4 linked regions of the Drosophila melanogaster genome follow. The protein of the gene in region 3 purifies or fractionates together with the protein of the main gene of each other region. This does not show direct contact. Each region holds a gene or a part of one and is shown on either strand. Other genes may lie near its edges.

Region 1 (8,053 bases), about 14 Mb from region 3:
TCGGCTTTTTGTTAAGCAGATTCCTATCGATGGGAAGGTGTTTATCCAGCGACTGTAGGCGGTCGAGACCCCTATTGTCGTGGAGTCCGTTTCGTATCTGGTTTTCAATAGAACCAATATGGAAACGGTGCTCCATCCAGAAATGCCAATCACAAAAATCCAAAGCAGCCTGCAAAGAGTGATGGTTTTGCGAACCGTAGACAATATCCTCGAATCGCTGACTCTTACCCTTTATTTTCCACAAAAGACCTTATAAATCCTCGAAAATTCATTACTGACTTCCGCCACATTTCGTATTCATGAAATCCTTTCCACAATTTCTTCGTGACTAATTCGAAAATATATGATGTCCATCCTTTATTTAAATACGGAGGGATGCACGCAAGTTCTGATGCAAATCGAGCGTGTCGTTTAGATTAATGGAGAGATAAGAAGAAAACATACTCGTAGCTTTGAAATGCAACTGCATACTGCACGCAATGTTCAGATGCACTAATGGGTATCAAAGATGCGAGGGAATCGGTTCGTTGGGCTGCGAAAGTGTGCATACCTTTTGAAAGTGTATCCAACTATATAGATGCAACAATTATAACTGAAGATGGGCTTGTCCAAGCGTTGCGTTTTATGCTCCATAGCACACACGCCACCATTTGGATGCAGCATCTGGGCACTGACTTGGCAACAATCATTCACTCGGGAACCTAGGCGGATAAAATATAATAAGAAAATTAAATGCACATTTACCACAAGTGTGAGTGATCTGGCAAATGCATATATCCCTGAAAAGTCGATCATCTCTTTGATTCCCAGCCAAGTAGCAAGTAATGTGGATGAAAAACCAATGCTGCTAGTCTTGAACTGTCTGCAGCCAAAATCAATCGCTCAAGATGCTGGGGAAAGTGAAAGGCAGCATTATTGTCATTTACATGACCACTGGTATGGAGGTTAAAATCAATAAATTCGAATTAAGCTCACCCGCTTCGCTTCAGGACTGCTGTACATACTGCTGAGCATAAAGTCATCCGCCAGCTACATGAGGCCAAAACGCCAGGTAAGCATTCGACGCCAGGAAAAGCGAAAGTATGAACGCCCGCATCGACTTTCAGATGTGGCCCGTGGATCATCCAGGGATCGTCCTCTATAGACAGCACCCGAACGCCATGCGAAAGTTCTACTGGTACAACGCTAGGACCCCGATCCTGGTGGGCAAAATGCGTCTAAAAAACTACATGCGCAACATGCACATGCTGCCCCGATACGTGCCCTCACCTGTCCAGTTCCACGAGGCCTATGCGAACTCGAAGAGGTCTATATCAGCGCACATATCATCCATTTGTGCATACGTATAATCATAGTGGATTTCTTTCAGGAGCATCTTCAGGGACTTGAGCCAAGTGAATGGGTTCAAGAGCACACTCCTGCCCATTGCTACTTCCACCGTTGACTTCGTTGCGGCCCCGCTCAACACGATTGAGTACAGTTCCCCTCCGGTAAACGCACCTATTGGTTTCAGTTCAGCCCCAGTCAACGCCTTCGTGCCCCTCACGACGGGAACCCTTCCGAGCGCAGAACGCCTCATTGGCGCTCCGAGTCTGTGGAACCACTCCGAAACCCACGCCTCCAACGACGGCTGGAACAAGTGCCGCGAAAACTGCCTCCAGATTCCGTTCCAGGAGTATGCCAAGGACCAATACAGCTCGCAGAGCAAGACCAGTGACCTGCCGGTGACCACGACAACCACTTTGCCCTACTTCAACTACGTTGCGCACACCTACTTCACCCTTGACGACGTGATTCTCCCCCATTCCGCATCGAAACTCGGCAAATCTCCAGCACAAGACCAGCAATTTCGGCCCAGTCACCAAATTCTCACAACGGAAAGGCCCCAGGAGCTTTTCACCGAGCGGTTTCAGCACACCACGCCGCCTCCAACTACAACAACCACGACCACTGAATTCACTTTTCCGGGGAAAACCACTGCTTTGGAAATGGAGTACAGATATAGCACCCGACCAAGCTGGTTTAGCCCCACTACCTCCAGCACCACAACAACCGAAGCTGCGGCTTCTGAGGATCCCCCGAAATGGACAACTCCGCAACCCGCTCAGAACGTCTATTCCACGGCGAATGTTACGACAGGATCCTATAAGCACAGACTAAAATCCCTGAAAGCGACCAAAAACTTCTCTTCAAGCATTGAAACTAAACTGAAACTTTTGAAGCTTCATCTTAAAAACCTGGTTACAACTAGGGAAACGCCGAAGAACGTTCAGAATCTAACGACTACAGCTGTTCTTGACAACCACACCACTTTGGAAACGACTACAACAACAACTACGCCCACACCGCCAAGAAGAAGAACAAACGTCAATAGAAAACTGAGAAAACTGCGAGTTTTGGCATCGACCAAAAAGGTTCCGGTGCAGATTTCGAGAAATTCTACAGATTCCAGCAAAGCCATGGGAGAATTCAAAAAGAGTTTACCGAAAAGAATTTACCAACGGCGCAAGCACTTGAACTCCACTGCAATGCCAGAAGCCGCGAAAAACACAACAGCTGATACCGATATCGAAACGATAAAAAAGCTTAAGCGCCGAACAACAGCAACACCCCGGAAATCGACGAAGGTCGATGATAATGTTATCGTTCGAAACGCTACGCAGGCGATAAGTCACACTTTGGCAAAATCTCGCGCCGATGGTATATCAGAAGAAAAACACGCTTTGGTCACAGAATCGGCAATTATGACTATTTCCAGTGGTACTTTAAAAATGAGGCAGCCCCATATTAAGGCAAGGTCAAAGCCGCAAAGGTCCAGAAAAATGTCGCACCTGGAAAACGATAATTTCATACCGTCGTTGCCCATTGAGGTTTATTTTAAAAAAGTAAATCAGCAGTAAATTGCTATAGTCTTCGAGTCATGCGTATACATTGTGTAAATGAACAGAGCAAACTAAAGTCTTAACCATTATTTATACTTACAGAGACATTTTAAGCACCAAATACATAATAAAACAAAAAATTAAGTGTTTACTTGCAACATACATACATACATACACATATAGCTTATAAATAGTTGTTTTCAAATTTAAGACTGAGTTGGCAGGCCATTGTAAGTTTGGCGAAAATACGGCATCGGCCTTATCGTTCCATTCCCACAGTTCCTAAACTGGCACAGCGACCGGTGCTGACAATCCGTGTGCTAAGATGCAGCACTGTGCGTTTCTTATTATTGACCGGAAACAAAACGTGGGTTTGATTCGATAGCAGGGTTCTTTCATTTTACATCTTCGGTTGGAACAGTCACTGGACTTTGCAAGTAGGTTAGTAATTTCGCATTTTTGTGTATAAAAAAATTGCAAATTCGCCGGAGAAGCGGCGGACGACCTAAATGGCACTTACAGCCGGAGGAGACGGTCAAAAACGGCTTGGAAGCCAGAATTAACCTCCGGTCATCTCGGCACATTCAGTAATATGCGAAAGAAAGTGCTTACACTCACACAAGCACACATACACACATACAAGTGCAAAAATGCAGTACACAACTTTCAAGTGCCGTGTGTCTCGATGACTTTGCCAAATTAAATGTTTGAACACTAAAGTGCCAAGTGCCTGGGTATGCAATTTGGCATATGACATTTCGGATACATACATTTGCCGACACATATATACATACGTATGTATGCATTTTTTCGGCTTGCACACACACGTATTTACATACATATGTGCGAATCCGTCTGTGTCTGTATGTACCCATAGAACGCCGAGGTATATAATGTGCTTTCAACACCAGCTAGTGTCTTTGTGCCTAAGTGTAAATGCATTCAAATCCCAATTAATCGGCAGTTAATTAAATAGATAAATAATTAATTCAATCACATCTTGTGTCTTGTGCGGCAGATATGGCTGAGTTGGACGATCAATTCGAGACCACGGATTCCGGCGCATCGACGACCTATCCCATGCAATGTTCGGCATTGCGCAAAAACGGATTCGTCATGCTGAAGTCGCGGCCATGCAAGATTGTCGAGATGTCTACTTCAAAGACTGGAAAGCACGGACACGCCAAGGTTCATATGGTTGGCATTGATATTTTCTCTAACAAGAAGTGAGTATATTCGCATATTTCTTCCTATCTGGTGGCAGCAGCATTTGCGGAGAACACAAAGGAAGCGACGCGCTGCTCTTGAATGTAATCAACGAAAAGTGTGCGCAAGCAATCTTATCTTGGACCAAAGTTATCAATAAATTTATGGAGGAAAATTAGAGTTCAACGCGGCGACGCCACCTCAAGCCAAATCCAGATCCTCTTACTTAACGCCTGCTTTGTCTATCGTCGTCTTTGCAGATATGAAGATATTTGCCCATCTACTCATAACATGGATGTGCCCAATGTCAAAAGGGAGGACCTTCAGTTGATTGCTATTAGTGACGATAGCTTCCTTACATTGATGACCGAGAGCGGAGATCTGCGTGAAGACTTGAAGGTTCCAGAGGGCGAATTGGGTGAACAATTGCGTTTAGATTTTGATAGTGGCAAGGACTTACTGGTGAGTTTGCCTCGACACCATATTATTATTTCGCAGAGAATAATTTAATTATACTTTTTCAGTGCACCGTTCTCAAGGCGTGCGGAGAGGAGTGCGTTATCGCAATTAAAACCAATACTGCTCTGGACAAATAGGCAAAATGTGTCGCTGTAAATTTCTGTTGCATTTACATCTGAAACAAATTTATTCAAAGATGCTGTTATAGGCTAGTTGGCTCTACATCTTAAATCTGGTTCTAACGATTGTAATTAATATAACAGAAACTCGAAGCATCATGTTTGAATAACTAAGTAACAAGATACACGTTTGCCAATAAAATTTTTTACCTAAACGTCATCCGTAAAACTATGATTCTCCTGTTTTTCATTGGGTTTAAGCTCTTTATTTCAGCAAACTTTATTCTAATTCGCACAGCTAAATGGGAAAAGTAAACAAAATGTTGGTCTGGACGCACGAATGAATGGCGTCACTTAGCATTGTGATGGTAAACGGCGGGAACCAGATGGGGTGACGCTACCGGTTTTGAATGGGTACAAGATGAACTTGTATTATTGACAACGCTACTGAGCTTTGCTACACCCCATTTAAAAGTGTAGTGTATCCTGAAAAAGATAAGGTACTCGGATATAGAGAATGGAGGAGGCATATTGTTTGAGGCAGGTCGGAATTTCGTATAGTACCAATTTATGTATGTACATGTACATATGTACGGTTTAAATGCCGTTGTTAAATAACATTTCAACATTGATGTACCGACTTTCGGAAAGGTCAAGTAAAAGTACAAAAACAATAAAAACAATTTTCATAAGTTGTAAGATTAGAAGAATAATCGATAATTTTTTAAGCCAAATGCCAATCAATCGATATACCAATTGTCTTGTAAATCGGTTTAGTAAGTTGATAGAGAAAATTCAAATAAGTATTTCTTCAGCTAGCAGATATAAATTACTTGCATAATCATAAATAAATATTAGATTGAACTAACAAAATTGAACTAACTGAACTAACAAGAAGATAAAAATATTTACAACGACCGCTATGAAATGTAGTTAAAAAAATGTAAATCTGAATTTTAATTAAACTTAAAATATATCAACTAGTATTTAACATTTTCAACAAAAAAAAAAGATTTCTTAAAGCCTAATTTCAAATTAAGAATAAATAAAAATATAAACTCATTACACTCGTTTCAATTCCGCGTTCCATTCGAGACACTTTTTATTCCGATAGCACTGGGCGATACATCACTTGCAAACGGTCCTCCCGGAAATCGATAGCTTCTTCTTTCTTTTTCTGTGTGTCTTTTTTGCGGTAAAGTACATGAGCTGAAAATGTCTCAAATAAAATCGGCGAAAACTAACGTAATCTTTGCCTTACAGCGACTGTTCAAGCCAAGATACCGCTATGCCTCCCAAATTCGACCCAACGGAAGTTAAATTGGGTAAGTAAGCGAGTGTTTTTGTGAGGAGTTGAGCTTCGAGCAAACCGTAGTTTATAATAGAGGATTATCTTCAATAACGAATTTCTGCACCCAAATTACAGTGTACCTGCGTTGCGTGGGCGGAGAAGTCGGTGCCACATCCTCCCTGGCCCCAAAGATCGGTCCCCTCGGTCTGGTAAGCATGCAAATCGGTTTGTTTACTTGTGCAATTCGCGCTAACAAAAGTGTCTCTCTGTAGTCGCCCAAGAAAATCGGTGATGACATCGCCAAGGCCACCTCCGACTGGAAGGGTCTGAAGATCACCGTCTGCCTGACCATCCAGAACCGACAGGCCGCCATCTCCGTGGTTCCCTCCGCCGCCTCGCTGATCATCAAGGCTCTGAAGGAACCCCCACGTGACCGCAAGAAGCAGAAGAACAGTGAGTATTGCCCGGCAATCCTGGACTGGACTTCCAATGCCTGTGCCGGGCTGTGGTGGATAATGAGGAGCTTTGCTTCCACCGCACTGTGCCCACATGCACTGGATGGTTCTGTGCTTGATCCCCCGATTAACAGCAGATATTCTTAATTTACAGTCAAGCACAGTGGAAACATTGGCTTCGAAGACATTCTGGCCATCGCCCGCGTGATGAGGCCCAGGTCCATGGCCCGTGAGTTGAAGGGAACCTGCAAGGAAGTTCTGGGAACCGCCCAGAGCGTCGGCTGCACCGTTGACGGAAAGCACCCTCACGATGTTATTGACGAACTGAACGAGGGCTCCATTGAAGTCCCCGCGGAATAAACAGTTTTTTAAACAGAATTAATAAATTGTACGCGATACAGTCTGTAATAATTGACCCAATCGGACAGAATTTTACTTTCGAGCTCAATGCGGCCGTGAATGCGATTTCAGATAGGCTAGCTAAATGTTAAACAAGAGGAAAACTAGAAGTGCATAATATTGCATCAATTCAGCAGAGTAGATTTGCCAATTAAGCAACGCAATAGGAAAATCTTTCTTAGTTCGGTTTAACAGTTGAATTCCTATTAGGCAGAAAACAATGTGCAGAACTCTTGCATTGTTAAAACAATTATATATTTGGAAGGTCTTTCCATTAAATGAGAAGTAAACAATTCGCACATGCCCCGCAAAAAGCACATGCTTGATAAGAAAGTGTTCAGTTTTCGTTACTGGAGAATGCTTTCGGTCACATTTTCCGCCTGGGTTTCCTGCGTTGCATTTACGAATGCATGTATGCCACCCCTTTCCCAAGATACAAATAAAAAGAGAGTATATTTAATCCGCAAATTGTAGACGAATTTATTATTTCATATTCTCGAAAAGATCTTCAGCATTCCACAAAATTGCGGAACTCCTGGAATCAACAGCTTACAGCTTCAACTTGGTACGCCTCCAGTGACGGCGCTTAGCGTTGTAACTGAAAGAAAAAGCGGAAAGTTGAAGTTAATATTAGAATAAGATTATGTTGCACCAATGATCTTTATGTTATTAAGAATATTAAAAATAAGGTAGTGACAGTACACTCAACAATTAAACGCACTTGCGTTGGGATACTTTGCCCTTACAAAACTTTTGCCACTGCAATACTAAACATTTAAATGGAAAACCAACACCGAACTTACCGAATAGTGTTGCCAGTACGTAGGCGAACCCATTGGGGAACGGATCTGTTCTGCTTCAGCTTCTTAGCCAGCTTCTGCTTTATTCTGAACGACTTGTGTGCAGCCTGGTGGAGAAAGAAGTAACGAACGTTTAGTATCTCGATATATTCAAAACATTTGATCAAAAACACAAATAAGAAAAATTTCCCACCATTTCGTCCAATCTTTTCAACGAGCCACACCGGAAAGAAAGAACCAGACCGGAAAAGAATACGCGCTGGTGGTGGGTTTATATCGATAAGTTCACTTATCACAATTTCATGCAATACGGAATGATGAAATAGAACGAAAAATATTTGAGGCATTACAAAAAATTATAATATAATATTTAAGACTTTTTTTTTATAGCAAGGGTGGTTCTTATAAAATTACATAAAAACTAAGTTTGTTTCGTTCAATT
Region 2 (8,158 bases), on a different chromosome or scaffold from region 3:
GACCTGTGATGGTGCATAATATAAGAGGCATAGATAAGATGAAAATTTAGGTTGCAATTGGCAAATAATGGGCAGGAACAAGACCTAGCATTTAGTTACTTAAAAAGAAAATCTTCAAAAATAAGATAACTGACTCAAGATTATTATTATTGTTAATTAAAACTCCTGGAATTTTCCCATTGATGTGAATCTTAAAAAGAACATCCATCATTAAAGAGATGGCTTAACGAATTTCCAATTAAGTCTCAATGCTACAACCTTTATTTCATGGTCAATAATTCGAGATTGACTGCAGCCTGACCCACGATTACGATGTATACTCGATTCCAGCCGTACTCGCACTCTATCTGCGCGACGATCTCAACTTCACGGAGAGCTTTTCCACGGTGGTGCTGCACATCTTCAACTTTTTTGGCCAGTTCTGTCCGATCATTGGGGCGATCCTAGCGGATAGCTACATCGGCAATGTGCGCACGATATCCGGCTTCAGTTTTATCTACGCCTTTGGATGGTTACTCCTCACACTGACATCCCTGCCTGCCATGGGTCTTCCGATGGTGTAAGTACTCGCAACGGATTAGGATGAAGGATTTAGCTTATTCCACTTGCGACTCGTAGCTTGCTGGTGTCCATCGCTCTGCTGTTTATCGCCGTTGGCAATGGATCGATACGAGCCTGCATCACCTCGCTGGGCGCACTGCAGTTCAAGCTGCCGGAGCAGAGCGTCCATCTGGCCGAGTACTTCTCCTTCTACTATTTCGTCTACTATTTTGGAATATTCCTGAGCAAGATCCTTCCGCCGCTGGTTAGAGCTAACACGCAGTGCTTTGACAAGGCGGAATGCTATCCAGCCGTATTCGGCACCCTTGGCGCAGCCTTTATGATGGCCTGGTGTAAGTAACTATCAGTTTTCATAGCTTATTTCTATTTAATTTACGCATGCTTGTGGTATTAGTTATCTTTCTGGTTGGAAAATGGTTCTACAAGTCCGAAAAGCTGTCCGATGACAACATACTCTTCAAGTTCTGCGGCTGCATAAAGACCGCTCTCGTGGAGAAGTGGCGACGTCGCAAGTCGACAAAGCGCTCCAACTACTGGCTACACAATGCAGTTGTAGCCTACGACATGGGTTTCGTCAATGATGTGTCCAGAGTTTTGAGGGTCAGTTATACTTGTGTTATAATGAAGATTCTTTCAACTTCATAATTTCGTTTCTTTTAGATATCCAAGCTGTTTATCCCACTGCCCTTCTACTTTGCTCTGCTGGCGCAACAGGATTCCAGCTGGACATTCCAGGCCACCCAGATGAATACCACATTAATGGGCGTGACCATCCAGCCGGATCAGGCCAAGGCCGTGGGACCCATCTTTCTGTTCATGCTCATCCCTCTATGGCAGTATATAACAGTGCCCTTGCTGCGCCGCTACTTCAACTGGGAGCTCCAGCCGCTCCATAGTGTGACTGTGGGTGGGATCTTCTCCGCCGGCGCCTTTTTCTGTGCAGGAGCCTTGCAGGAACGAATAAAGGTAAGCAGGAATAATAAGATACCTCACCTGATCGTTTATTAACCCGAAATATTCGAAGAATTCCCCGCCCCAAACAGTGAATATAGCTTGGCAACTGCCCCAGTTCCTGCTGCTCATGATGGGCGAATTACTGCTTTCCATTCCGGGTCTCCAGTTCGCCTTCACCCAAGCACCGACCTCTATGAAGTCGGTGGTCACGGCAGCCTGGTTTCTAAATAATGCTTTCGGCAATCTGATCGTGGTTCTGGTCACCGAGCTGGGTATGCTTAGCTCACAGATGGCCGAGTACTTCTTCTATGCGGTGGTAATGCTAGTTTGCATCATCCTCTATGCCCTTTTGGCCTTCGATTACACTCTGCAGGAGCGCAAGGCCGGAATGTATGTGAGGATGGACAGTGAAGCGGAGGACCGGGATGTGCCCAGCACCAGCCGCAGCGGGAGCATATAGGAGAAGTTTCTACGGTCTAGTATTTTCATTGCACTTGTAATTTATTGATAAACGCACACAGGCAAACATGCATTTAACTGAAAACAAATAAAAACTAAACTAAGATCAGTCGATTATCTTGAACATATACTGCAGCTCCAGGTTGGAGTCATCTGGCAGATCAGTGCAGTGGACGGCGTTCTGCACCTTGGACTTGCCGAACTTGGCGCGCAGCGTGTGAGGCCGCAACAGTTTGGCGATCTCCGGATCCATGGGTCCACAGAAGTTGCGGAACTCGCGATCAGTTTTCTTTTCGGGATCGGCGCAAGCAATCTCCATGCACATGCATACTCCACTGGCCAACTGAGCAACCATGGGTATATACTCGGGCACCACTCCGCGGTAGACTTCGTAGAACTCCTCGCAGTTGATTCGGGCCATTAGAATCATGCGCATGGCTGTCAACCGAAAGCCATTCGACAGGATTTCGGAAATGATGTCTCCCAGGAGACCATCCTTGATGCTGTGCGGCTTAATGATGGCAAGTGTTGTATTCTTGAATACACATTCTTTAATTATGCTGTGCCTCGCCTCAGATATGAACTTTAGGTCCATTTCCACGTCGTTGTCGTTATCAGAGTAGTAAAATCCATAACGAATCTCCTCACTTTCAAACAGCTCTTCCAAACTGGGCGACAGTTTCACACTGGGTGTTTCCGCCTCTGTGCTCTTGTACTGGGCGCAGGCCTTGATGGTCTCCACTACGTTGTCGCCGATTAGCTCCAGACTAATGGCCGGACCAGCCAGCAGCTCGTTCATAAGGACTCTGGAATTTAGAGGATAAGATGTGTTCCTTGGCATGCCATCTTTACTCACGAAGAGGAGACATCCGTCGTGTCCTTGCCGGACAGAAACTGAGTTACCATTTTGGGAGAGAACTGAACCATCATGCCCTGGTTTATGTTAATCTTGTTGTCGATCAGAGTCTTTAGGAACTTGCCCAGGTGCTTCGTCCACATATTGTTCTTGAGCAAAACGAATCCCCTGAAAGAGATGGGAATTACAGATTAGCGAGTGGATAGCTGTCGATGAAGGAACATACTTCTTGCGATATTTGGCTAGGTTTGTCCGCGTAGTGTCGTCAGCATAATCCACAATGTCAAACTGCCGGCCAAAGACATTGATCTTGGAGCCCACAAAGAAGTCGCGCTGGGTCAGCTCCGGGATCTTGGTGCGTCGCAGAAATGTGCGCTTGTTGCGCTGGTCGAACTGAGGGAAAACATGGCCTTGGTTAAATGTGTTTCTTTGAAGAACTTGTGCTACCAATCCTCACCACTTCCACGGCCTTGTCGGATACATAGTAGGTGATCAGAAAGGTGCGTATGATTCCAGCCTCTGCATGGAACCACTCGGCCACGAAGGCCAGACGCCGCTCGCTAGCCGGAATCGCAGCGGGTTTCATGGTATCGTTTTGAGGGGAATCTTATACCTTGCTTTTCCGTTCTATCGCTTGACAGCAAGTCCTTTATTTCGAGTGATAACTGTTTGTTTGCTTTGCATTTCAATTGTGCTTCTTCTTTCCCGCGTTGTCACAGCAACAGTGTTGCCAACATAACAAAATTCATTTAAGTGGGCGCAAAATTTAAAGAAAAAAATACCTATGTTAATTTTAAACCCAAATTCTAGGGGATTACCCATAAACAATTTTTAACCATTACCTATAATTTCTTTTTAAAATCGCTATCTATTCAAAGATAAAGCCTTCTTTGCGACATCTTTAAGAAGCTGGACTGCGCATTCCGAATTTAACAGTTTAGAGATTTCTAGAACATTTATAGAATGTTGTAAACTTATAAAATATTGAAAATAAAAAGCCGAATATAAGTTTTTCATTTTTTTTATTGTTAATTTCCTTTATTTACAGGAAACAAAAATAATAAACTGCAAACTGATTTTTGCAATAAATTGGTTGTAGCTTTCCTCTGGTTGTTAAATTCTAGCGTAAAACTTATGGTTTCCCTTGTCGGCGCCAAATCATCTTGTTCCTTGTGTTGCTTTTTGTTAACATCTCTCCTCTGAATACGCATAATATTCAGGTATATTAAATGTGGTTTTCTTCGATTGGAATAGTGTTTCATGTACGCATGCGTTTGTGGATGTTTTATGAGTGATTGAGTGTTTCTTCTTTTTCTTTTCTGGTGTGTATGTGAGGAGTGAGTGTTGTGATCGTGTGCTGACTTATGGTATAAGAGCCACGCCTAACGCTACGACTACGCCAAATTGCGAGACACCATCTGAGCGACCGTCTAGGCAGCTGGCTTCTTCTCCTTATCACCCTCGCCGCCCTCCTCGTCATCCTCGTCGTTCTGGGACAGACTTGGGATGTTGTCATCCGAGTCCTCCTCCTCGTCATCGACGTTGAAATCGTCGAACTTGTTGTTCCAATCGCCACCAGGGCTGTTAAGGAAATTTCCAAACATGCTGTTGTCTTTTTGGTCACCTGCAAAGTGCGTTTGTATGAGTGGGTTTGCTGGATGAGATCTTGGGGATGAGGATGTCAACTTACCCTCCTCGTCGTCGGACTCATCGCGCCACTTGGCAAAGTTGGCTTTTAGGAAATGCAACTTGGTCTTGTCCGTGGTCAGCGAGGACCAGTAGGGACCGGCCGCCTTCTTGGGTATTGTGAATTCCAGGCAGCGGCCAATGTTCTTGCTGGTCACCTTCTCGGGATCCACCTCGTGGAGGAAGTTCAGTGTGACCTCGTACTTCTTCGACGGATCCAGCACGTTTACGCCCTTGAAGGTGAAGGTTTTTTCCGTAACTCTGTTTTGGGATAAATATATGGAATTAGGATGTGCAAGGAGCATGGACATACTACATATGGGGGCATATACTTGTGTTCGATGTCCTTGCATTCGACATCGATGATGACGTAGATCAAGTCATTGCGCTGGGCCCAGGAAACTGGAGGCGGAATCAAGCTGCAATGGAGGATCAAGTTGGATAAACATAAATAAGAGCTTCATGTCGTTGTGCGAGATCCGTTGCCATGGCAACTCGCGTCGGACTTTCTGGAAGCGGGTGCACGAACTATGTAAATAGCTTCCCAGCTAGCTAGATTTGCATAAACCATAAGCCCAGGCAAAAGTCCATGCCGAAAATGCACGGCATTACCGCCAGCCGAAAACATAACCTCAAACACTGGACCCTCCGATTAGTTCCACAAATATCGCAATGCAGATGCGCACAGGACACGCCCACCGTGGACACAAACGCTTGGCCAGGCGGATGAGCGCGAGAATAAGGGTCATCCGAACGAAAATTATGTGTTTTTCACGGCCGGGAGTTCGAAAATGGACGCCGCCGCAACGACAAAGCACGCGACGCACAAAGAAGCCACAAAAAGATGGTCCGGCTATCGCCGATTGGCACTGAGATGGCCGGTTGTGGACTCACCCTGCTGCTGCCGACATTATGTTGTTGCTGTGAATTGTTGGTTTATGTTTTACGAAGTCGGAACACTTCTGACTGACAGCCTGACTTGGTTACAAAAAAAGGCAGTTTCTGTTGAACAAAATTGTCATGCACAAAATTGACATGAGAAACAGAGTTACCGAGCGCGCTGCGGAGATGTGACTAAATTTGAACGGTGCTCTGGGGTGCGAAACTTCGATAGTTGTACTCAAACCACAAATGTTAGCTTGTTACGTGTAACGTAAATTTGAAGTGTTGTGTCAAAACATTTTACATTGTCGGTAAAAAGTATTGAAATCAACTTTTATTTGGTTCAAGGAATTTATGATGATGATTATAAATCTATGATCTACCAAAGTCGGCACGTTTTGGCGCCAGGACGCATGCCGCTGCCCACGGAGCAGTTGTAGGCGTGGAAGAAGTCCTCGCTGTTGGACAAAACTCCCAGGACACGAAATTGGTCGAAGGTGTGCACATCGCTAAGACCTTTCCAGTAGTGCTCCTCCTCGTAATGGGAGCAAAATAGCTGGGCAAATCCCAGGAAGAACAACTGTTCCGGCGTGAGATCGAGACCCGGCATGGCGTCGCTTATCCTCTCCTGCCCAGGATGCTCCAGCAGTTGCTGCCTGTGACTGCGATAGGCCGTCAATGCTTGTCTTAATCCGCTATTGTCTGCGATATTCTCGTCCAGTGTAGTTTTTCCGTTGACACGCCTGCTGATCTCCGGTACCTGGTACTTGCCATAGTAGTCCATGTAGCACTCGGCGCGATCCTCTAATGCCTGTTGCGAAATTTCCGACAACAAGGACTCCATGTGACCATTGCCATCGAAATAGGAGCTGGTCGTATCGAAGCCGTGGATGAGTTCATGACCAACGATAAAACCCAATGTGCCGAATTTCAGGGAAATCGGCAGGTGGCGTTGGTATATCGGTGGTTCCACCACGCCAGCCATCACATTAATGGAGTTGTCCGGAGTGTAGTAGCCCGCTCCAACCTGCAATCCTGTCAGGATCTTCTGTGGCTTGGTGTCATTGGTCAGCTCCTGAAAATGCCGACTGCTAAATCGATTGATTTGTACAACTAGGTGCTGCAAATTAATGTTGGTCTCCGCATAGCGATCCTCGATGACTTTCAGACTGTTGATTTCCCGGATTATTCGATCCGAAAGTGCATCATCTTGGAACGAACCAATGCGTGGCTGTATTCTGGACTCCTTAAGCAGTGCCCTCGCCCTGCTCTCCGCATCCAGCCAATCGGCATCCTCCAGCGCCTTTCGCAGACTCTTTCGCAGTTCCCGCACCATTTCCGACATCTCCAGCCTCTTCGCCTCACTGAAGTTGTTCTGTAACACAAGAGTGTTGAGATTATTTGGTATTCTCATCATACGCATTCGTTACCCACAGCCATGTAGAGTTTGTTGAACAGAAACCGCATGGATTGATAAAGCGTAACCGAACAGTAGTTCCTTTGGTACCTGGGCGCCTTCAGTTTGGGATCGAATCTATAGAGCAGCTTCATGGCCAGGTAGTTGGCCACAGCCTTGCGATGTCGGGCGCATACTTTGTCCAGTTCAACGTAGTAAAAGTCGCAGAATAATTTGTTAGTGGAGTGGAGTCCACTCCACGAGATGTTATAGTAGTACTCCGATTGGGGAAACACTCGCTTAATTCGGTAGGGATCAAACACTTCGCACTGGGGCGGGATCTCGAGTGCGTCCCGCCAGAAGGCAAAGACCCCAGCGATGGCCTCCCTAATCCTGTCCTCCGGCAAGCCGAACGCCCTCAGATATCCGTGCATTCGCTCTTCGTTCAGGCGAAAGGCGCGTGTGGTATTTCTGGAAATGTTTTCCTCATGTACGATGATGTGATCGAAGCCCAGTTCGGGCAGTTTGGTGTAGGGCTCAAAGGGATACCTTAACTGGAGAGTTTCGCGGATCAGACCGTTGGCGCCATAGTTGGCCAGATGAGCACTCATGTTGATCCAGTTAAAGTTTGAGGCTTTCCAGGCGTCTCCATCCACAGCGGGAAATCCTCCAATCGATCGAATTAGACTCAAGTAAGCGGGATCCGCCGCATTGAAAGGATGGAGATTTGCTCCCAGACAAGCGTTGTAGAATCGCTGGGCCACCGCCAGTTCGCTGGATACGTTTAGAGCCTCCGCCAGATCCATTCTGCCCAGCAGTTGCTCCGTGATGTCGATCAGTGTGTAAGTCACGTCGCCCAGGTTGCTTCTACTGCCCGGTGAGTACCGATCCGGCTTTACGTTCCGATAATTTCCACAGGCATACTCGTAGAAATTCTCGCAGGGCTCTACACTTTGGTTCATATAGGATTTCATGAATTCCGCGTATTCCTGCAGTTGGTACTCTGCCGCGGATCTATTGGTCGAGCTACCATTGCTATCGGAATTTTCGGACCTGTCCACAAGGCTCCTGGCCTCGCAATCCGTCAGAACCGCAGCCACAATGACCCACAGCAGCATCAGGGAGATCAGCTTCAGTGATTCATGAAACATATGCGTATTTTATGGGAACACTTCTCAATTGGAACTTATAAAACACACTGATTTAAATCGCGAACGAAAACTGGCAGAATCCCAATAAAATCAAGAGAGCAATAATACAGAGATATAAAAAACCCTTATCAGTAGAATGTGCAACGGATTGTTGATAAGGAAGCGAGTAAGTTTTTGTTTACAATCTGTATACAAATAAGAGATATTTATTGA
Region 3 (7,784 bases):
AGCCAGCCAAGATATGCCATAATGTCTTAATTATCTTTTTGGTCGCACACAAAACGATTTGCTAGCCCACGCATAGATGGATATTTTTCGGTTTTTGTGATTTATAGACTGCTCTTAGGCCCGAAAGTGAGAGGATCCTCTGAGCGGACAGATAACAAATTATTGTTTTTCATGCATAGGATGGAGGGACGCTTTCCATTATTTCTCCTAAAAAGAAAAGCTACACTTTGCGTGCTGAAAAGGGCTTGTGGTGGGGTGTCTGACCCCCCAGCCCTATTTCCTATTGGTCTCTGTGGGTGTATTCATCAACAATAATTGCCCAGACCTGTGCTCCTAAGCCTTTCGCTCTTGCGTGTCCCGTTTTCAGTTGGCCCCCAACTTTACTTCCTACACTTGGAGAATAATTGCATTAAAAAGGGCTGCTTGAAATATAATTCCTATACATATTGTATATATTAGCTTTTCCCTAAGATGCTACCATTATTTTAGCTATCTTAATACCATCTATCTAGATACTTGGTATCTCTAAACTACAAAGTTAAACAAACTTTGTCTCATATATATCAGTATTGTCTATATCAGTATTATATATATATATTGTCTCGCATATCAGATATATATAAAGATATTAAAATATGAAAAAAATATATAATATGCATTCCTCCGCGGCAATACACTTATTTTGCAGGTGCATTTTCCGCGCTTTCATTATCAACACTGTTGGCGAGGGGATTTTCTTCGCGTCTTTGTTTTTCCAGGTCTTTATTATTCTTTGGCCTATACAATGTCCCGCAAGAAGTCGTCGCCAGTTGTCTTTGTTGTTGTTTTGCTTGTTGTTGTAGCGTTTTCCTTTGGCTTTTCCTTATTCCACTTGTGTTGTTGTTGTTGCTGTTGCACAAGTATTAACCAAAGGACCCCGGAGCTGCTAAACAAGACGCATCCGCGGAAAACCCAGCTCCCCCCTCCCCCCGCCTACCATTTTGCACTCGTTATTATTATTTTCGTTGGTTTATTTTTTTGTGACACTTGGAATATTTTATAACAAAAACTTGACCCGCTTTTCCAGGAGCGAAGGAAATCCGCATTTCCTGTCCCTTGCAACGCCACACACCTGCTCATCATCAACTGCTGACTTATTGTTTTCTTTTCTGGTTGTGTTTTATCATTGTACCTACACCACTCCCTCACCTTGCTACAACTACATACACACATACATACACACTCCAACTTTTCCTGTCGCTTTTCCACGTGCCTTTAATCCCCGTTTTTATTTTTTAACTTCTTTTCTCAGCTGCGCAGCGGCGCTTAATTAAAATTAACATTTCATGAAGTGCAAAAAAAAACACAAAGAAAAACATTCGCGGGGGTACAAATGACGCTTCCCAAAAAAAGTTTGCTTAATCGTTTCATTAATATTTAAGGCTTATGGCGGTCTGATCTGTCTAACGGTTTTGGGTCCCGCTGACTTTCAATTTAAATGCGATTTTACTCTTGTTTGTGCCACCTTTTGAACCTTTAAATAATCTCGAATAAGCTGTTAATTGTATTTAAATTCAATAGGTATTTTCAAAAAATACCTTAAATGGCGGGTCTGTATTATTGTGAAACTGTAGTTAAAGTTATTTTATTATTTAATCTTGATTTTTTATTTTATATATTTTTAACACTATTTAAACAATTATTTTTAACAGTGTTATTGCCCAAATGCCAACAAGTTTTTAAAGTCACATATAGTACGTATTAAGCTAATTTAATTTAAATGGGCCACTGAAATGTTTAATTGCCTGAACAACAAAAAGCATTACCTACCTACCAAACAATCCTTTAATTACATTCAACATGAATTACAAGAGTACCTTTAAATATTAATTGTCGGTCCGAAAGAGAACATTAGGCAAAGTAAACAAAAGCGTGTACATATGAATAATAACATTTGTGCCCACACCTCACGTGCGCATAAATTGTTGCTTATTTTTTTTTCTAGTTATTTTGGCGACATTCGTAATTGAATGCATTATTCAATGGGCACCGAGGGAGTATGTTTTCGTACCTGTTTTTTATAGCACTTTAACACTTTGATGGCCAACGGGTGCCAGCGGGCTTAAAGCAGTTGGGCCGGGCGATGTAAATGTCTTGGCATATTTTATGAGGACAGTTGGCTGGCAACTTTTCGCCGAATTTCGGAAAACAACTTTATCGTTGCATTTACCATTAGAGCTGGTCAAGGGAAAACTTTTACTACGAGGCGATCAGATCACTTGGGAAAACGCTCCGTTTGAATGGGTGGATAGTGTTAAAGATGATTTGTTTGTAGCCTCACATGTTTGGATTAGTTGGCAAACACACGCGAACGCACCGCATGGGCAAACAACACACAAGTGGAAAAGTTTTCGCGGACAAAAGTTTTCGCCGCCTGCCAAAAGGTGTGTGCACTTTGTCAGAATGCTAGTTTACTACGAACGGCGGTCCCTAGGCTCAAAGTCGGGGCGATACGATAAGACAAATATGTCAAAAAACAGTTTCGAGGACCGTTTACCGTTATGTTTCGACCGCTCAGCTACCGCACGCGCGCATCGCTAAATTTGAACTGAGCCGGAGCGCCAAAAAGCAAAGCAAAGCGAAAGCAAAGAAGGAAAGCAGAAAGGAAAACATGCGGCGTGGGCGATTGCGGTGCTTATCAAAATCAGCTGTTCGGAAGCTGACTTCAAGCGTTAGCTTTCAGGCGCAAAAGCTCTTCCTACAGTCACCGATGCGAAAATAGAATAGCTTTTGGAACACTAATATCAGTCTCAAGTTGAGACTCTCAGCCAAAATATTGGTTGACTTACATTTGTAAGCCATTTTGTTAATGCATCAAGCTGGTAAGCAAAATCGTCTGCTGGGGCATACTTTCAGGCGAAAACGAATATTTTTATACATCCTTTTGGCGGCGGGTTTCTTTCTGATGTTTTTTTAAATGTAACATATTTATAAGGATTAATATCAACGATATGCGCGGCCAAATTGAATTCTTGCGGCTATAAGTGAAAATCCTCATAAGTTTTAATTAAGAGAGGTAGTCAAAAAGAAACACATTTTCTTACATTGTTGTTATTGTTTTGTTCTTATTATTAGGGTTGTTTTTTAAACAAGATAATTTGTGAGCTTAAATAAGCTGGGTTACAAAATATCGAATATTTTTAAACTAATTTTATTAATTGTTATTAATAAGTAGGTCATTAAATTTTTAACGATTAAAACAAATTCTATTTTCGGTATCACAAAACTGATAAGTAATGGAAAATTACTACAAAACGTTTATTATAGAGACGAAGGTTTCTGAATTCTTAGATTAGACCTTATAACTAGCACCCTCTTACGAATGTACTAGTAACTTAGGAAATACGATCGAGCTATTGGAAGTGAATCCAATTTTGTTAAAGATAACCCACCTCTAAATAAATTTAACACTTGCTGCATTTTGAATATCCATGATGACTATATCTTTTATTTTAATTTCAACCATCTGAATCCCATTTGGGTACTGTCTTCTGAGTTAGCGATCTGCCCATCCGACTTTCCAAAACCCATTCGAACTATTTGTGTGTTTTACTGAAAAAAAAACCTATGCTGGTGTGCTTAATATTCGATAGACCCACGCACACAGTCTCATGATTTCACTCGCTCTTCACTTTCAATTGGAGGCTCGTTTTGTGTACGTGAACGGGAGAGCCGTGCGATCTATGGAAGTGTGCGATTTTTGGAGGCACTCACAAATACCATCACACTGCTCGGCGCTCTCTTGCTCTCAATATCCGCCTATCGATGTGGCTGTATGTTTGCAGGTGTTGGTGCTTCGCCTCTATTTACCAATACCATTTAACATTTAAATGCTCTCTGGCTCTCTGTTTATGTTTGGAACCGGCTTATCTGTCAGCTGGACCAGATCAGCTGTTTGGATGTTAGATGCTAAAGGAGTTTGCGCCTATTGGACTTTTAAAATGAGATTAATGAAGAACCAAATAAGGAAAACAGTACTTTATTCTAAGATACTTCCAGAAGCATTTCGTCTCAAAGTCCAAATTATGTACCACGTTTTGTAGAGGCCCCTGTCGAGTTTCACACACATGACACCATGCTCAAGGTTTCCCACTCCCCCCACCAAAGCAAACTACTCCACAATCTGTTCAGTATTGTTTTATAATCTGTTCACAGAATAATATACTACAAACAAACACGCGCGTTGAGGGAGCGCCCATTTCCTATCTCTATCGCACCCGCTATTTACGTCGATCACGTTGGGTATAAAAGACAGCCAGCTCTCCCAGTCAGTATTCAGTAAGCAACAAGTGTGCGAGCTAAAAGCAGCTACCAGTTGAGCAACTAAGTTTTTTTGAAACTAATAATCAAACAGCAAGATGCGTTTGGGACAGACCGTACCTAACTTCGAGGCCGACACAACCAAGGGGCCCATTAAATTCCACGAGTGGCAGGGCAACTCGTAAGTGCCATCAAACCCTTTTTCTCTGATCGAATCTTACCAATTCTTCTTCGGATCGCCAGCTGGGTGGTGCTCTTCTCTCACCCCGCCGACTTTACTCCCGTCTGCACCACTGAGCTGGGCAGGATTGCGGTGCACCAGCCGGAGTTTGCCAAGCGGAACACCAAGTGCCTGGCACATTCCGTTGACGCATTGAACTCGCACGTGGACTGGGTGAACGACATCAAGAGCTATTGCCTGGACATTCCCGGGGACTTCCCCTACCCGATCATCGCCGACCCTACTCGCGACCTGGCCGTCAGCCTGGGCATGCTCGACGAGGAGCAGAAGAAGGATCCCGAGGTGGGCAAGACCATCCGCGCCCTGTTCATCATCAGTCCGGACCATAAGGTGCGCCTCTCCATGTTCTACCCCATGTCCACTGGTCGCAACGTTGAGTAAGTACCTCTTTCGGGCTACAACTATTGTTAATCTCAACTGACGATCCTTTAATCTTACAGCGAGATTCTGAGGACCATTGACTCCCTCCAGCTGACTGATCGCCTCAAGGTGGTGGCCACTCCCGCCAACTGGACCGTAAGTTTTTCTACCCACTTAATGCGAACTGTTCCGAACTAATTAATTCTGTTTCATAAACAGCCTGGCACTAAGGTCATGATCCTGCCCACTGTCACCGATGAAGAGGCTCATAAACTCTTCCCCAAGGGATTTGATAAGGTATCCATGCCGTCTGGAGTAAACTACGTCCGCACCACTGACAACTACTGACACAAAACCGTTCCCCATTTGTGATCCATTCAATAATGTGCCGTATTTCCTGACATATACTATATACTATGTGCAGTTCATTTATTTAATAAAAAATTATTTTAACAAAATATCCAAACTATTTTAATTGATTTAATGAAAGAAATTTTTGGAGAATAATGTAATCCAATCAGAATTAGGGGAGTTACTGCGATTTTGACGTTCTTTTAGATTGTATAATGTCTGTTTTTTATTTCCTTGCGGATGGTATAGTGATTTTAATCTATTGATGTATTTCTATTGCAGTTGGTAAATAAGTCAAAACTGTATAATATATACGATGGAATAATAGTGAAAATGAGATGGTGTACCTTTTTTGACAAATTATTTGGTTTTTTATTTTATCAAAATCGTAGTGTTCTTATTCGGAATGCATCAGTTTTTAAAACCATTAGTCGTAGAGTAAAAGGATATACTGGGATTTCTTAAAAAGCATAAAACAAATAAAATGATGCCTTATCGACCATATGAAGTATATAAATTCTTGATCATGATCAATATCCGAGTCGAGGCTGAGCTGTCCGTCTGCATGAACGCCTTTGAAATTTATTCATTTTATTATACATATGTTGAACTTTCTCGTTCGCACTCCCACTAGCTAATTAAAGAGTATCTGATAGTCGAGGAAATTGACTATAGCGGTTTCTCTTGTTTAAATATAACATTACTCCAACGGAATATGAATCATAAATGTCATAACTGTAAGTGAAGTGTTTTTTGGTAGAAACATTCTTTATTGTGTACGCTTAATAGTTAACTAATTTTAACTAAGATTAAACCTGATGGCTAATACTTTGCAGAACTTTCTTAAATTCTAGAATAATTTGTTCTACCATTTCTGATTCGATGAAGGTGGTGGGGAGGTAGGCAATTTGATGCTGTTGGGAAAATGAAATTAATAGTTGTTCATTCAGAAATTTCGACAGATGTACTTACAGTTTAATTAACGGTCACCATTTTATGTATGTATTTTTGGTCTTTGGCCGATGATCCTACTATATCTTATTTATTCGTCTGGCCTGGTATTGCTTTTCGGTTCCTCGTGGAGCAGGTACTCCTTGGCCATGGTGTACGCCAATCCGGCTGTCAAACATCCAACGACGGTTCCCTGGGCAGCCACACGCAACTGCATCAGAAAGACGCTGGTGCTCATGCTGCCTCGGTTCCGATATTTGTAGGCTCCAATCAAACCTGCGGCCACGAATCCGGCAATACCCACCAGCATAAAGGGGGACTCCTTCACTTTTCGGGATAACTTGTTTGCCTGAGCGACATCTTCGTCGGTTTCGAATAGAGAATTGGAACTCATTTTGAATAGGTTAGAAAACTTGTTCCCTCTTCTTGTTAGTTTGCCTGATAATTGACAACTGAATTCCGAGTGAAAGAGATCCCTGGCTTTTATACCCACTTGCTTTGAGACGATCAGTGAGCGAGATAGCGACAGTGTTGTTTTCACTGATATGTATGTACATACATACCTATGTATATACACCGATATAATGTACAGCCGTGCGGGCAAGGCCTCCCTGTTGCGAACGCCTCTATTTTTGAATGTTAGCATGCATCAACCTCGTGAAACTCGGGACTTTGTGATGAAATTCTAGAAGCTGCCTCAAAAGTACAGTACATCTAGTTTATATTGCACTATTATTTTCAAATAAGCCAGAATTGGTGGCTAATTTCCAAAGTTGTGCATGCAATCCAAACAGCTGATCCAACAGCTGATCATTTTCCAAAGAGTGTGGGCAGTGAGCGAGGAAGAGAGCGACTCGCCGCATAGTAGTATTTGTGAGTGCCTTCAAAAATCGCACACTTCCATAGATCGCACGGCTCTCCCGTTCACGTATACGAAACGAGCCTCCAATTGAAAGTGAAGAGCGAGTGAAATCATGAGACTGTGTGCGTGGGTCTATCGAAAATAAACACACCAGCATAGGTTTTCTCTCAGCAAGTCACACATATATGTAGATCGAATGGATTTTGGGAAGACGAATGGGCTGAAAGATAATTTAGACGCAAAAAGACTGTTCGCATGAAGAGACACATTGCTTTGGAGTAAACATGGAGTAGATTTAAATAAATAGTAATAATAACATATTAAACTGTGATGCGCCAAGAAATACGTATGGAAAATCATGCAAGCAATAAAATGACTCAAAGTACAGTCTGTGCGTTGCCTTATACACATTTTGTCGTAATTTTCCATCGGTTTCTGGCTTGTTTGTCAATAAAAAAGTGAATTTTGTGGATGAGCGGAAAAGGCAAGTGATGAAGGAGAGAGATGCGGAGGCCACGCGAATGTTGGTTGGCTGAAAGATTAGCGTTGGTTAGGGAATGATGGAGGAGGGGTAAGCAGTGAAAGAGAGTAAACGGGCGAGAACGAACCGGGTCAGATCAGCGATAGCCACACCCAGAACCGAATAAATCGAATTTAAAATTTTGTTATCGACATCGGACGAGAGTTGGGCTATTTGTTTCGTTTTCGTTCAGCCAATTC
Region 4 (7,579 bases), on a different chromosome or scaffold from region 3:
ATTCTGGACCTGTAGGAATAGATGTGTGATGAGAAGTTTACAAGCTATTTAGTTAGTTTTAATTAATAATAGTGTGATAATTCCTTAAGTGCAATAATATTTATATGTCCATGTATTAACAAATCATCACGACTAACCAAGTGAGTGAAGCTCCGGCCAGCTGTGATGATGGCTGCCTTGCGAACCATCTCGCCCAGCAGGCACAGGACCACGCCCGCCACCCAAATGTATCCGTATCTCTTGAACTGCGGCAGGTAGTACACCTCTAGTGAGAACTCGATCCAACTGGCTGCCGCCGCCAGTCCATAGTGCACAGAGTGGTTCAGCATAAAGGAGTCGAGACTGAGAGTGCGCGGATTGGCAAAGGCGATAACGAGGAACTCCGAGTAGTGGAAAAGGGACATGAAGCATCCGTAGGCGCCAAATTGCTGCCACTCGGTGGGAGCAAAGCAGATGACCAGCACACTCACGGCCATGGCAAAGCCCAGGAAGGATGCCCTAATGGCCACCTGTGGTGCAAGAATAGTTAGCGCCATAGCACTGATAAGGTTTATCGCGTCTCATCGATTGACTCACCTGGTAGTCGTGGTTCCGCAGCACAAACCGTATGATCATGTTAATAAGGGCGTAGTACAAAAATGGACCCCAGAGGACGGCGCCCCACACCTGTGGCACCACTCCATAAAGATTCTGGGGCACCGAGGGAATCAGGACTAGAGCTGCAGTAATCAGAAAGCAATATAAACTGATGCGGCCTTCGGAACACAGGCTGGTGCCACCGGCCCCAGGAGAAGCCACTCGGCTCTTTGCACACATAACTGGGGAATCGGGATTCTTTTTGTGCTGCTGCTGTGCGCAAAAACACGGAAATTGAGGTTTTTTAAAACATTTGCTTGGTTTAATGCGCCAAAATGTAAATAAACCGGCAAAGCTTTCGATAACGATAGGCAGCACAGTGAATAACCGCTAAAGTATAGGCTCGTGATTATCATAGAAATCAGTAATATAATTCTTACAGCTTTTAATAAAATAAATCATAAATCATAAATTAAATTAAATAAATAAATATTTAACACCACGTTTAGCAGAAAATGGTTTTAAAAATAAATTATGCGGGCAATTCTCTTTAGCCTATACCCCCTGTAACAATAAGCGATAGTTATGCACTGTTACATATCGACATATCGAGTTCTGAGGATTTAATTTAATTTTATATAGTCAGAAAAAATTTAATAGTAACTTAAATGAATTACATTTGTAGGTATTCACCTATACCTTTTTAAATAAATTTCTTAACTGCACGCCTTGCATCGATATTTTATCGATAACATGCTCATTTTAGCGCCGTGCAGGTTATGTAAAATAACAAGTAGAGTCGTTGAGATCAATTAAAAATATATAAAAACTCGACCGATATTCTGTTAATATCAAGCCATGGTCTTCCTGAACCTTCCCTTGCTGGTACGGTCCCGTGGTCCGGACGAATTCTGGCGGAAGAGACGCATCTTCAAGCTGGCAGCGGTATGTTTCCGAATATCGTGGCCACAATAAAAATAATGAGCTCTTAGTGCTTAATTTCTGCAGCATTATAGAAGCCGCACTCGCAATGTCTACTCCTTCGCCATCCGGAGTGTCCATAGGGCACTGGCCTATGCCACCAAGGGGCGAAAGCTAAAGAAACTGGACATGGCGCAACTGTGGAGCACACGCGTGGAGGCGGGTTGTCAGCAGTATGGAGTAGGTCTGGAAACCTTCAAAGAGGGCCTCGCGCGCTCCGATATTCTGCTCAACAAGTGGGTACCACCGGAAAATTCCCATATCCTTTAACAACCTATAACATCTTTCAGAAAAGTCCTATCCGACCTCGCCATTTGGGAGCCGCGATCTTTTGAAGCTCTAGTAAAGATCTCTCGAGAGCGGGCAGCTGTGGAGGGAATGCCAGACATCAAACGGAGATCGGCATTTAACCAGGTCTATGGACTGAGCAACCTGAAGTTGGATTAACATAGCCTTAAGTAGGAGTTCAAATATAGATATTTGTATGTTTTAAACGTGTAATCTTTAATTTTCACTTTGAAGGGAGTAAAATCGTTTGGGATTTGTTCTTTAGATTAGTTTTTAACTCCGAATTCGTATTTACATTTAGTTACATAATTCGTAACTTCTGCTTGCTGAATGAAATTTGATACTAAATCATTAATTTATTTACTGCAACTACCTTTTCCGCGAATGAATCCAATATTTTTTCGAGTAAAATGACAAATGTGATTAATGACAAAACACCTGTGCTGCTAGTTTTAACAAGTAACTCGAAATTTATTCAATGACGGTCCATGCGCAATGCAAACAAAAATATTGCATGAGCTTTTATTGTAGTTTTTAGTTTCGGGTTTGTGGGTGTGTTACATACTAATAAAAAGCATAGAATTCATAGAATTGTGAGACAGTGTCCGGAGGCGAGATCTACTCCAATTTGGCCAGGATGTCGGACTCGCGGAAGAGGAACAGCTCCTTCTGGTCACCCTCTAGGTTCACCTTGGTGCCACCGAATTCGGGCAGCAGAACACGATCGCCCTCCTTCACGCCAATGGGAATGTGGTTGCCAGTGGACTGCGGATGAAGTGGGATGTTCAGTGATTAGATGACCATCTCTGCATTGATAATGGCGAAATACTCACGGCATTACGGGTGCCAGGGCCTACGGCCAGAACGGTGCCCTCAAGTACTTTGCCCACCGCTTTCTCCGGCAAAACAATGCCTCCTTTCGTCTTGGTCAGCGCCTCGGCACGCTGGATTAGGATGCGGTCCAGCATGGGGATGATCTTCTTGATAGCGGCGGCCTGAGGATCATTAAAAAAGACCCAACAATTAACCCATGTTTCAATGTTTCATGTTTCTCTCATTGATTACACAACAGCCCGGCGAATGGGATGTGGACCGAAAGCCGTGGAACCTTCTCGAAAAACCGATATCATCCTTCGATTTCAAACTGTCTTCTAAACCTCATATGGGGCAATGCACTTTTAACTTACCATTTTAATTCTTAAATGCAAACTGGAGCGGTTGATAAAAGTTAATGAGTGAACTTTTTACTCAACTACACGTGCCGGCGTAACTATTCTCGCTAGATGCGGGACTGCTTATCGTCGGTGTGACCAGGCTATTTCACGGATATAACATTGAGAAATAATTTTTTCTGTTCGAATACACTGAGAGAAGTCAATGCAAAAATTAATAGTTGTGTATAACTTTTAAAATGGTAATAAACTTTTCGCCAAGTAATTGCCGAGTTGATTTCCTATAAAACATGAAGATGAAAATGAGTCTGGTGGGTGGACTTCCATAATAACTTGTATACCAATTTCAGGAATTACTCCTTTTATATGCAATTTAAACATATTAATTTAATTTCCATTAATTTATAATAAACATGTTGTGCAATTTTCTGTTCTCATCTTTGTTGAGCTAAATAATCGTTTTTTAAGAAATTAAATCAGAAGCCCAGAAATCTTCTGGGCTTTACTGGTGTTTTAATTTTTTCAAATTTACTAATATTAAAATATAATATAATATAAAATAAACATAAAACAGAATTGTTTGTTTACTTCCTCGAAATTAGGTATGTTCAAACCAAGGAGTTGCTATTGATACTAGCGATTTAAATCGATTGACTCTGGCAGCGGATTGTTCACACTACACCCTGTTGCAAAGTGCAAGACAATAAAGACAAGCAACAAAATAATTGAAAAGTGTGGCATTCCTGAGAAAAATTAAAAAATTTCAGAATTTTCTAAACATCTTGTTTTTAAGAAGGGAAAATAGCACGAAACAACTATCGATAGCTGCTGACACTCCCACCACTAAATCTGATTGGGAGATTTATTTGAGTCACCGTTTTGCCTTGTTTACATTTAATGTAATTTGTACCAGATAAATCTTATTTGATTTTACTCAAGTCAAGTGGCACGATGTGCTTTTGTTGTTCACTTAGTTTACAGTTTGTGACTGCTATTTTCGTTTAGTTATATTCGCCAATAAGCCAGCAATTAACCCACTAAAATGTCTGATCGTCGTGGCACAAAAGTTGGAACTGGTACGAAGGCTTTGGAGTATTGGTGCCGAGTTGTGACCCAAGGATATAATGGGGTCAAGGTGGAGAACATGACCACTTCCTGGCGAAATGGACTTGCCTTCTGCGCCATAATACACCACTTTCGGCCGGATCTTATAGATTTCGACCGACTTAAAGCAGACGATATCTATGAGAACAACGATTTGGCCTTTACAACGGCCGAGAAATATTTGGGAATTCCCGCACTGCTCGATGCAGCTGACATGGTTTCGTATGAAGTACCTGATAGACTCTCCATACTAACGTATTTATCCCAGTTTTACAAGGTGCTCGGCAAGAGCCTGAAGCACCCGAAGCCAGAGGAGCCACTTGGCGAAGAGAGTGAGCCACCGCAAAAGGTGATGCACATTGTTGGGATGCCTCGACGTGATAAGTGCCAGAAATGCAACCTTCCTGTTTTTCTCGCCGAAAGGGTCCTTGTCGGCAAACGGGCTTATCATCGCACATGCTTAAAATGTGCAAGATGTTCGTCATTGCTCACACCCGGGAGTTTTTATGAAACGGAGGTCAATAACATATACTGTTGCGAGACTTGTCCCGATGAAGAAAGTGAACCGGAATCTGACATTTTAAAGTTAAAGACAACCACTACTGATTCTCCGAATGATAAACAAATGGTGGCACAAAGTTCTGATTACTCTGAAGCTGAAGATAAACAAGAAGACCTGGAAGATAATGATATACGTACTACTGATAAGCCTGAAAACTTCCAACCGCCGTCCAACAAAGATGAACAAAATAATGAACTAACTATTAATCCGGTAAACCCTATATTATCAGAGGAGCGTAAAATCTCTTTTATTCCACTAGACGAAGAAGATGGTGGCCTTATTGAACAATATAATAAATCAACAACTCCTGTAAAGCCCGCTATACCAGAGAAACCAAAAGTCTCTACTCTTCCACTAGACGATGAACAACATGCTGGCGTTGAACAAAACAATGATCTGGCGGTTAGTCCGGAAAATGACATTCCAAAAGAGAAACTTAAGATTTCTTCGGTCTCAATATATCTTGAAGATGACCGCCTTGTTGTAGATGCAATACATCCGGATAATTTAGATAAACAAGAAGCTTTGAACAATACATCAGACGCACTCATTCCAGAATCACAGGAAGCACCGATTCCTGAAAATAACACTCAAGTAGCCATTAAACCAGAAGACCATATAAGCCCGCGTAAAGAAAATAAAATTTTCTCAAACACAGAAAGCTGCTCTAAGCAGGAAGGTGTTCTCCCAAAACAAATGGATCTCGAGTCTCCCAAGGACAAGGTAATTGAGACAAAAGCATCTGAAACTGACTATCCAGAGGATCTAAATCCCTTTAAAGATGATGACTCATCTAAAGGTGCCAACCCATTCGACAGCTCTGATGATGAAGTGGAGCTTCTTAAAGCCATTCCAGCCCAACAAAGCAAAGGAAAAGTTGTACCGCCCCGTCCACCGCCACCTAAAATTGGCCTTTCATCCATCTCCAATCCGTCAGAGAAACCACATTCCAGCCCTACACTTTCGCATGGGAAAAAAATGCCGATGCCAACACCGAGAATATCTATATCAAAAACCCAGACTCCAGCAAAACCAATGACGCATCAAGGCCAGAAAAGTAGTATTTCCTCTTCGTCTTCGGAGCATTTGAATAGCATAAGAACGTTCGATCGCGGAGCAGATGACCGTGGCTCAAGCATCTCCTTGCCATCTGCAAATGGGCCTCGCAAGCCACTTCGCGCCTCAGTGGGGAGTCCGCTGCGAAGCGAAGAATCGAGTCCCACTACCAGTCTTAGCTCTATTACCTCTCCGATGCGGAAGAAGCGCCAGGCACCTTTGCCCCCAATACAAACGGACTTTGACAGTGATCCTGGATTTTCAAAATTGTCCGACGAACAAAAGGCATTGTTGCACACTCAGCTTAAGGCCCCAAATCTGGGTGATTCAACCAGAAGACTAATACCACTTGACCAGAGTCTGCTATCCGATGAGGCAACCGAGTCGAGTAATTACGACGAGAGCTTAAGTACATCCAATGCCGACGAGGAGGTAAATGTGGTATACCGACGCATTTTGGTGCCGCCAACTCAACCCGAAAACACTGTTGAACGTAGCAAGGAGGATCAAAAATCGCCTATCGTGTATAACGACTTCGATAGAAACGTAAGCCCATTGGGGCACAATAAATCCACTCATGGGAAATGGAAGAGGCGAAAGGGACCAGCACCAGCGGTTCCAATACCACCGCGCAAAGTCTTACAAAGGCTTCCGCTGCAAGAAATTCGCCACGAGTTCGAAATTATTGCGGTACAGCAGCTGGGTCTTGAGAAACAAGGCGTTATTCTGGAGAAAATGATCAGGGATCGCTGTGAGCGTTCCTTAGATGCCACCGATACTGATGGTCCCGAATCCGCAGAAGTGCTAACCAACTCAAAGGAAGTGGAAGATCTTATATTGCAACTGTTCGAGCTGGTCAACGAGAAAAACGAATTGTTCCGCAGACAAGCGGAACTGATGTACCTTCGACGTCAGCATCGCCTGGAGCAGGAGCAGGCGGACATAGAGCATGAGATACGAGTATTAATGGGGCAACCGGAGCACAACAAAACCGATTCGGATAAAGCCCATGAGGAAGTATTAATCAATCGCCTTGTGAAGGTGGTTGAAATGCGTAACGAAGTAATTGATAGCCTAGAGACTGACCGAGTTCGCGAGGCGCGAGAGGATATGAGCATCAAGAATCGGCTTCATATATACAATTCTGAGCGCGAGGAACCACCAGCACATCCGAGAAGCGCTGACAAATCATCCAAAAAGCTGTCTAAAAAGGAACGAAAAAAACTTAAGGAGGAAAATAAGCTGGGCAAGGGCAAAAAGTCGGACCTCGACAAGGACGTCGATGAGTCCGAACAGGCACCAGCTTTGGAAAAGGTTAAAAAGAAGCGAAACTTGTTCTTTTTGAAAATGTAGTTGGGGGCTGGTTGAGTTGAAGTGTTTACGCATCGAACAATTGAAATTTATTTTATATAAATTTGTAACCTATTAAGTTTCTATTGCCATATGTGAGCATTTCAATAAATAAAGTATATATTTTCCTTTAGCAACAGAACTTTGGATTGAGAACGACGAATGCGAATCATATTACTATATAACTCTGGGATAATAATTTTTAAAATAAAACAGAAGCGAATTAATCAGTTACAAATTCTAAATCTTAACCTTAAAAAACACAAAGCTCCCACACATTTTAATTATTACTTCGGTTCTGTGATATATTATTATTATGTTTAGTTAGTGGAGCTAGTATGTTTTTGCGTAGAGCTATCGATAAGAATCGTTGAATGGTTAATGTCAGGCGCTGGAAATTATAACATCCCTAAACCGATAAGACCCATTAATAGAATGTATCAGTAATAAGATCGTACAACAGCGCAAACAATCGCGGTACGCTGATTGA

Evidence for each region.
Region 1: the proteins of Prx6c (region 3) and eEF5 purify together in Drosophila melanogaster (affinity purification with mass spectrometry, with the first as the bait; one large-scale study listed by BioGRID). This does not show direct contact.
Region 2: the proteins of Prx6c (region 3) and p23 purify together in Drosophila melanogaster (affinity purification with mass spectrometry, with the first as the bait; one large-scale study listed by BioGRID). This does not show direct contact.
Region 4: the proteins of Prx6c (region 3) and CG11267 purify together in Drosophila melanogaster (affinity purification with mass spectrometry, with the first as the bait; one large-scale study listed by BioGRID). This does not show direct contact.

What each region holds. Positions count from the first base shown.
Region 1 is NT_033778.4:24,054,584-24,062,636, forward strand, and holds eEF5 (eukaryotic translation elongation factor 5), read left to right. Parts: upstream 1-3,214; 5' UTR 3,215-3,319; exon of another isoform or gene 3,320-3,323; intron 3,324-3,900; 5' UTR 3,901-3,902; coding exon 3,903-4,108; intron 4,109-4,348; coding exon 4,349-4,550; intron 4,551-4,612; coding exon 4,613-4,684; 3' UTR 4,685-4,699; exon of another isoform or gene 4,700-4,755; 3' UTR 4,756-4,900; downstream 4,901-8,053. Other genes in the region: ppk29 (pickpocket 29), read right to left, coding at 1-169, 229-290; CG13563 (uncharacterized protein), read left to right, coding at 888-936, 990-1,051, 1,107-1,306, 1,370-2,900; RpL12 (ribosomal protein L12), read left to right, coding at 5,955-5,991, 6,093-6,166, 6,230-6,410, 6,567-6,772; RpL39 (ribosomal protein L39), read right to left, coding at 7,361-7,409, 7,615-7,718, 7,805-7,807. UniProt on the Drosophila melanogaster protein: Translation factor that promotes translation elongation and termination, particularly upon ribosome stalling at specific amino acid sequence contexts.
Region 2 is NT_033777.3:9,675,339-9,683,496, reverse strand, and holds p23 (p23), read right to left. Parts: upstream 5,571-8,158; 5' UTR 5,428-5,570; coding exon 5,411-5,427; intron 4,936-5,410; coding exon 4,849-4,935; intron 4,778-4,848; coding exon 4,521-4,777; intron 4,455-4,520; coding exon 4,261-4,454; 3' UTR 3,839-4,260; downstream 1-3,838. Other genes in the region: CG9444 (uncharacterized protein), read left to right, coding at 331-559, 619-893, 956-1,161, 1,222-1,527, 1,586-1,975; nmdyn-D7, read right to left, coding at 2,081-2,780, 2,831-2,998, 3,057-3,223, 3,288-3,416; Nepl12 (Neprilysin-like 12), read right to left, coding at 5,778-6,773, 6,833-7,945. UniProt on the Drosophila melanogaster protein: Cytosolic prostaglandin synthase that catalyzes the oxidoreduction of prostaglandin endoperoxide H2 (PGH2) to prostaglandin E2 (PGE2).
Region 3 is NT_033778.4:10,414,408-10,422,191, forward strand, and holds Prx6c (peroxiredoxin 6c), read left to right. Parts: upstream 1-4,310; 5' UTR 4,311-4,397; coding exon 4,398-4,480; intron 4,481-4,542; coding exon 4,543-4,917; intron 4,918-4,980; coding exon 4,981-5,056; intron 5,057-5,119; coding exon 5,120-5,248; 3' UTR 5,249-5,354; downstream 5,355-7,784. Other genes in the region: CG11825 (uncharacterized protein), read right to left, coding at 6,294-6,640, 6,696-6,759.
Region 4 is NT_037436.4:13,011,618-13,019,196, reverse strand, and holds CG11267 (uncharacterized protein), read right to left. Parts: upstream 3,148-7,579; 5' UTR 3,036-3,147; coding exon 3,033-3,035; intron 2,841-3,032; coding exon 2,679-2,840; intron 2,611-2,678; coding exon 2,464-2,610; 3' UTR 2,294-2,463; downstream 1-2,293. Other genes in the region: Icmt (isoprenylcysteine carboxyl methyltransferase), read right to left, coding at 1-9, 138-509, 577-816; mRpL20 (mitochondrial ribosomal protein L20), read left to right, coding at 1,435-1,521, 1,585-1,793, 1,848-2,004; MICAL-like, read left to right, coding at 4,060-7,092.